2 linked regions of the Caenorhabditis elegans genome follow. The protein of the gene in region 1 interacts with the protein of each later gene in a pairwise test. Each region holds a gene or a part of one and is shown on either strand. Other genes may lie near its edges.

What was found. Proteins that work in one complex are often made in the same cells at the same time.
Region 2: the proteins of ssp-31 (region 1) and edg-1 interact in binary tests that used the Caenorhabditis elegans proteins (3 or more experiments, as listed by UniProt).

The regions. Positions count from the first base shown.
Region 1 is NC_003279.8:13,217,465-13,219,999, reverse strand, and holds ssp-31 (Sperm-specific class P protein 31), read right to left. Parts: upstream 860-2,535; coding exon 536-859; downstream 1-535. Other genes in the region: ZK1225.5 (FSA_C domain-containing protein), read left to right, coding at 1,155-1,482, 1,553-1,611, 1,656-2,129, 2,184-2,315, 2,365-2,489.
Region 2 is NC_003282.8:11,319,162-11,324,145, forward strand, and holds edg-1 (Protein edg-1), read left to right. Parts: upstream 1-1,638; 5' UTR 1,639-1,644; coding exon 1,645-1,728; intron 1,729-1,778; coding exon 1,779-1,891; intron 1,892-1,940; coding exon 1,941-2,211; intron 2,212-2,255; coding exon 2,256-3,521; intron 3,522-3,627; coding exon 3,628-3,811; intron 3,812-3,870; coding exon 3,871-4,092; intron 4,093-4,135; coding exon 4,136-4,179; 3' UTR 4,180-4,475; downstream 4,476-4,984. Other genes in the region: gspd-1 (Glucose-6-phosphate 1-dehydrogenase), read left to right, coding at 46-247, 299-475, 529-616; B0035.18 (Mitochondrial cytochrome c oxidase subunit VIc/VIIs domain-containing protein), read left to right, coding at 1,159-1,307, 1,359-1,482; his-47 (Histone H2A), read right to left, coding at 4,895-4,984. UniProt on the Caenorhabditis elegans protein: Plays a role in regulating deps-1 cluster formation in the germline.

The DNA.
Region 1 (2,535 bases):
ATACTCAATTTTATACAAAATATGGGTACGTCTTTCCTAATATAAAGCCTCCTCAAACTTCAATCAATCAAAACTCAGCTTTAACTGATTCATCGGGTGCATCTGTTTTTGGTCAAACCGAACTCAAAAAACAAGAAGACTCCAATTATAGAATTACATTCGATTCTACAGAATTTTTTTTCATGTTTCGTAGTAGACTTGTCTCAGAAACTTTTAGCTCAGTTTTTTGATTGAACAGGAAGCTTTTGTCTCCTAGAAAAAATTTGTTATATAATTCTGAAAACGCTCAAAATTTGAAACAAGTCCCCGACAAAACATTTTGAAAATAGCTCAACTACTGACAATTGAGTTTCCCATTGAAGGTAGGCATGTTCGCTTACCGCCTACCGCCGGCAAGGCGCATTTACGATTTTTAACAGCTTTTCACTTGCACACAAGCTATAAACCCCGCCACACCGACAAAAATGATTTTATTTAAAATCAATAATCTCATAAAAATTTTTATCATATGAAAAGTACCATAAAGTAAGCTTTCTTAGCTAGCAACCATCTTGACAACGACTTCTCCTTGTTGAGCACCAGCCGCAAACGGAGCCTTCGGATCGGTCTCATCAGCTGGAACTTCGGCGTATTGAATGACAAGCTTGTCCTCCTTCGCTGGTCCAGCCAAACGATTCACTTCGAGCTTAGCCTTTCCCTTCGCATCAACGAATCCATAGACTGGGCGAACACGATACGATTCATTGTTGGACGACTTGACTTTGAATGCCAAACGAGATTCCGATTCGGAGACAATGTAGTGAGTTGATGAACCACCAGAAGCTGGGTAGTCGCCGGATGGTGGATCGATGTTGATCATTTGTAGACTTATTTTTGAGGAGACAAAGTTGATCACCAAATAGATGTAAGGGAATGATTGGATATGGAGAAGGAAGGGGACAAATCAACATTTTGATGAACTTTACTGATAAGGAAGTTAAGGAGAGGTTACGTTTTCATTTTATTGTTATTTTGTTTATTTAAATGTATTTTAAATACTTCTAATTGTAAAACAAAAATAAACTAGTTTTTTGCAACCAATTTACGTGAAAACTGTATCTCGATAAAAATCCAATTTTCAAATAAATGAAACAATACCAAGTTTTTCAACAAAGATGAAATTTATTCAACTTGCGCTGTTCTTTCTTATTGGAATATCAACTACGGATACATCGAACAAGACTCAACAAATTTTCAAGAAAATTGGAAAACGATTCTCGCTGAGTGAACATGGATTAATCCAACGGTTTAAGTTTTATTGGAAGACTCAGGAGGATGTGGATGCTGCAAGAAATCATTCGGCTCAATTGGTGGCTCTTCACTTGTTGAGACAATCATCGAATCACAATTATAAGTTTCAAGAGAGTGCTGATATTTTGTATAGTCTGATGGATATAAACTTCGAGGGAAAGATATGCGGTGGAATGGAAATGCTGAATTTCTGTAAGTTCAACTTTTACAATTGCGTATTGCCGTTTTTGGTCCAGAATTTAAAAAAAAGATTGAATTCCAGATCAAATGGCTGAATTCTGGAAACGACAACGAGGGACGTACCGGAGAAATTCTGGAGAGGTAGGCAGTAATTTTAAACACTCACATATCATTTTATTTTTCAGAAAGTTTCCTGGAGTCCTGTTCCAACGGAGAGTATAAATGACAATATATTCCTGGTATCGTTTATGGCACATTCCACTTGGGAGTACTCTTCAAAGATATCTTATCTTGTTAAAATGGAACTTCTCGGAGAAAAACCATACAGCAACTACACACTGACAAGGATTGAAGAAGTTGGAGCATGTACAGAGTATGGTGTTACGAATCTGGAAAACACTGATATATTTTTGGATCTTCATGAAACTGACCCAGAGAGAGTTGATACAAGGAAAAAAGTATTCAAACATTTCTATGAACTATTCACAATGGATAGAGAAGAGTCTGTAATCCCATTTAATTGGCTATCTTATACCGGTGTATCTGCTGATCTCGACATTCAAGTGTGTCACGGGAGTGAGTTGAAGAAAATCGGAAAGTATAATTTTATCGATTGGTGGCTCTGGTTCCAGAAGATGTATCATCCGGTGAAAGGCGATGTAAGTATCACAACTATAAAGTTTCACAGAACATTCTTATTTTCCTTTTAAAAGCAACACACAGCGGTGCAATTGACTGGTGGAGAGTACGATCGATTTGTATTCAGAGTAACTATGAGAGTTCAAATTGGTACTTTAATAGATAACCCAGTTGAGGAATTCAACTTCAAGATTCAAGTTAGATATGTACGTGTTTGAAGGAAAAAGAAAGCCATAAAAATTGACACAACTTCAGAATGTTTATGGCGACAAAGAATGGAATATTGATAAGTTCGAAGTGATGTGCCCATTAGTTGCAGTTCCAGAGATTGATTTGATGAAGAAGCACGCAATCGCTTTTAACCAGGTTATTGGAGCAAGGTTTGTGAAATGTTATCAGCTGTGTAGAAGCTAATACTAAGGTCAT
Region 2 (4,984 bases), on another chromosome or scaffold:
ATATACAAAAAAAAACCGAATTTTTAAATTTCAATATTATTGCAGCTCTCAACGAGAAGAAAGCAGAAGTTCGTATACAATTCAAAGAAGTCAGTGGAGATATCTATCCGTCTGGTGAATTAAAGCGATCCGAATTAGTGATGAGAGTGCAACCAAATGAGGCAGTTTACATGAAACTGATGACCAAGAAACCTGGAATGGGATTCGGTGTTGAAGAAACTGAACTTGATTTGACTTATAATAATAGGTTAGTTTTTGAAATTTCTCTTCAAAAAAAATTTCATTGTGATAATTTCAGATTCAAAGAAGTCCGTCTTCCTGATGCTTATGAACGCCTATTTCTCGAAGTATTCATGGGATCTCAAATTAATTTCGTTCGAACTGATGAGCTTGAATACGCTTGGCGTATTTTGACGCCAGTTCTCGAAGAGCTTAAAAAGAAGAAAGTTCAACCGGTTCAATATAAATTTGGAAGGTTGGTTGTGTTTCTTTTTTTTTAAAATTAAATACAGTAATCCAATTTTTCAGTCGTGGTCCAACTGAAGGTGACGAATTGATGAAAAAGTACGGTTTCATCTTCACTGGAACATACAAATGGGTTGCTCCAAAGCTATAAATGATACCAGATCTTCCTCTATTCATTCTCTTTCAAATGTTTGTAGAAATAACTTCAAAAATTCAGCAGCTACTAGTTCATATGTTTTCCTGTGTTCCACATCAATATTATTCCTGCTCTTTTTTCATTTGTTAATGTTCTATTGAATGAATGAAAATAAATACGTTTTCAGTTAAAAGAAGTGTAGAACGATAAGATAAGCCAGTAAAAAGGCTTATTTTAAATAATCTGTATTCAAAAAATAATCATTTTTTCGACAAGCCGGTTACGGTGCGCCAGTCCGCAAACACTCTGCATACACTCTACTTCTACAGTAGTGGACGTGCGACGCGTGTTGCGTCGCGCATCATCATATTGTTCAATTCTTGTTCAAGTTCAATCATATTTTCTTCGGATTTCTATCATTTTCCATCGGATTTCCCATCATTTTTGCACAAATGTTTTAAAGTATCAATATCTTTGATTTAAAAAAAAACGTCTTTCTTGTTTTACGTCTTTTTCTTGCTAGCTGCACATCGTATTACTCATTCTTTTTTTCAGCCATGGTTGCTGCTTCCGCTACCCGGAACATGCTCCAATCATATGGAAAACGTGGAATTTACGTTTCACTTGCTGTCGCTGTCGTCTCGACTGCCGCATTCAACGCATTTTACGTTTGGCCACGTCACAACAAATATGAAGAGTTTTTCGCGTCAGTGTGATCCTCGCACAAGTGTCTCCCGGGCAACGAGCAAACTTGCAGAAACTACGATTCGTACACTCGAATGAAAGAGATTTGTTCTGCTAACAAGGGGTACATGCATACTTGTCCAAAGGAATTGGCGAAATTGTACGAAGAGAAAGGGAAAGTTGTTGCCGAGCACTAAATGTTTGATAAATTATTCATAATAATACAAGTCAATAAAGTCTATCATTTCTTTATTCAGTTATTTGTTTTATTCTTGATCAGTACTTTGTGGTTTGTACCACATTCATATATTTTTATCTAAAATTTTCTATCCACGAAAAACCTCCCTTTATAGATAAAAATGGTCGAGAATAAGAGTTCGTACGAACTGCCTGATCAAAAAACTCTTGATATGAACAAAGAATGGGTGCAGGAGCTGGAGGATGTGAGTTTCCAATTGTTTAGCTTATAAATATATTTTATTTTTTATTTCAGATTTTCTACAGCTACAAGAAGTACGATGTGAACAAGGTCAGAGTTCAGCAGTTTTTGGACAGAAGATCCGATTTCCTCGTCTATGACTTTTACACCTCTAACCTGTCAATGGAGTATGTGAACAATGTCACCTTTAATAACCTCATTTATACAAATTTTCAGTGCGATGCAGTATTTCCAAGCAGGTGTAACTCAAAAGGACGTCGGACTGAGCAAAGACTACATCCTGCTCATGCGTAAACTGTACAGTATGCTCACGGAGCCGAGCAAGCAGTTTTTCCAGGAGCAATTCGTTAAGGAATGGCAATATCACGAAATTGATTATACGCCATATTTCGAAACACTCGTTCCCCGATTCAGGGAGAAAATTGCGAGATTATTGGATGAAATTGTCAAAAATCCTGAAGAGGTCGACGACGATGTTCAGGAAGAGGTTGGATTTATAATTTTGAAACAAAGTTCATATTGATATTTCAGTTGCGCTGGCACCTGCTCTTCTCACCAGTCACCACTCTTCTGGACATTTTCACTCGATGCCTCAAGAACTTCGAAATCACTGGATTTTGTTTAAATGTGTGCCTAAAAGTGCCACAATTGTTCTTCGATCGTCCGCTGAAAATATATCACACTGAATACGAAACCGATCGCGTTGAATCACTCATGGCTCTGGTTTTCCGCAGATTGATTTTCAATAAGCGCTGGGTGGATACAAGTGACGAAGAGTGGAGCAATTTGGAACAACTCGCAAGGGTGATATGCTCAGGACAGGAACCCTCGTTGATGTCTGCATGGCCACTTCTGGAAGTGGTGCTTTGCGAACTCTACACTCAGAACAGAACTCCCATGATATCAGTGGAAGTTTTGAGCGAAATTGCTGTGAAAATTGTTGAAAACTTCGATAATTTGAAGTATGCCACGTCGGCGAGAACTAAACCAGCTGAGAATGTTCTTTTGACTCCTTCGATTATTTGTTTCTTGCTCAACATTATTGTTGACGAGAACGTATCGAATACAGTCATTGAAAACTGTAAAATGATTCTCAAGGCGATTGGTCAAAACATGGAGCAACCGTTCGATGCTGAAGCGAAGAGCTACTTAACTTCTAAGGTTTTGAAAGAATTTCCGTGGACCTTAGAATTCGCAATCTCAACGTGGTTCAAGGCTCTGGAAGTTGAGAAGCGACGCATTCCATCAGCAGTCTACAAAGCAATCAATGCAGAAATGAAGGAGACATTCGACGAAAGAACTTTCGATATCGAGGAAAGCGAAACTGTTGATCAATCGATCAATGAAGAAGACGAAGAACGTTGTTCGACTCTATCATCTGAATCTTCAGTGAAAACTGCGATATCTATTGACCATAAATCGGACACCGCTGTTGATAATCTGGAGATGAATCAACTGCATCTGAGCCCAAAGCCCAAGGCTTCTGTAGAGGCAGTGAAAAGCTGTAAGCCCGCTTTTGTCGCAGTGATATTCGAGGAAATTCCACCCGAAACTGATCAAAACATCTCAGTTTTTGAAGATCCAACAATTGAAGTTCTCACGGAATACCTCGATTGTATCATCACAATGGGAGTGTTCGACATCTCGTGCGCCGACGAACTCATGCGTCACAGTTCAGTCACGTTCGAATCCTCAGAACAACTGGAAAAAGTAATGAAGACGGCGTTTGAGGAGAATTTCGAGATCGCAAACGCTGGTCCACAGCGTATCAAAGAGATCTCTGGGAAGATTTTGGAGGTAATGTTTTGTCATTGTCACTAGGAAAGATTTTAATTTGAAAAATACACTGAAAATGAATGGAATGCTTTTTCGTCGTGTCTTTTCTGATTTTCTAACTTTACAGGTTTTCGGCTCAACCTCGTCGGAATCGGACCACGACCGTATCGCTTCATCGATCATAGAGCTCATTCCAACAGAAGAATATGAAAAGACTGGGCCAAGATGGAGTCATGATATAAAGAAATCGGAAATCATTCAGCCTCTGGTTATCCCAGTCGAAGCAACGTTGGAAAGCTGGCCACCAGCTGGTAAGAAAATATAATTCAAAAGTAATTATTATTTCATTAATAATTCTGATTTCTTGCAGAGTACCGTTACGTTGCTCCTGGTATCAAGGAATCTCGTGACTCTGCACGACATGAACGCCTACTACGCCAGCAACTTGCAACAACCAAATCTTTGGAAATGGCTCAACTTCATCGCGATTTGTGGGCGGAAAACGAGAAAAATATGGAGCATTGGACACGCCCAGCGTCCCCTTGCAATAGTTCATTTTTCGCTGAATCTAGCGTGAAGCCAACAACATCAAGTATGGATTTTAATGCTGATTTTTTCAATTATAATTATTGCAGGCGCATATGGCAACTCTTCGAATTTCTCTCGTTATGCAGACTGATCGTCTCTGAAACTTTCTTATAATGTTCCTTGTGTTCCTTTTGTTACTTTGTTGTTAATTTTTCGTTCTTGTTTTTTGTTGTAAAATGCTTTATGCAGGTTTTTACCTGACACTGATTTTGAGCCCACCAAGTCTTCGTGATGGAACTTCTACCCATTTCAAAGACTTCGGGATTAATTGTTTTCCCTCTGAATTTTTTATAATTTTTCCCGATTTATTCTACCTCACCGTGAACATTTTAACCCCTTAATTATCCCATGAGACCGCTCATTTTTATAAAATCGGTAGGACGCGAATTTCTTTGTTTATTATGGCATTGTGATATAGTGGGGGATGGGGTGGTATGCAGGGCTTAGCTCATGGTTTTCCTTAGTTTTCTGACCGATCGTCAAATATAGGTGAAAACTTAATAACAATATTGCATTCAGGGCTCGAATTTCAAGCAGACCGCTTATAAATGCAATACAAAATTTATTAAAATGGGATTGAAAAATTGTAATTATCGTAATTCTAGAATTTCCTCATACGTTTTCTGACAGAACATGGAAGGTAGAAAACTTTATAACAATATTGCATTCAAGCAAACAACTTATTAAAAATAAATGTAATATGAACTTTATTAAAAAATTTATTAATGGGAAAAAGTAGGATTTTGTATATTTGTGGCCCTAAAGAGGCCGTTGGGTTCGGTGGGTTTGTTTAAAGAAGAAAGTTCTTACTCCTTATCTCCTCCAGTCTTCTTTGGGAGAAGAACGGCTTGGATGTTTGGAAGAACTCCTCCTTGGGCGATGGTCACTCCGGCCAA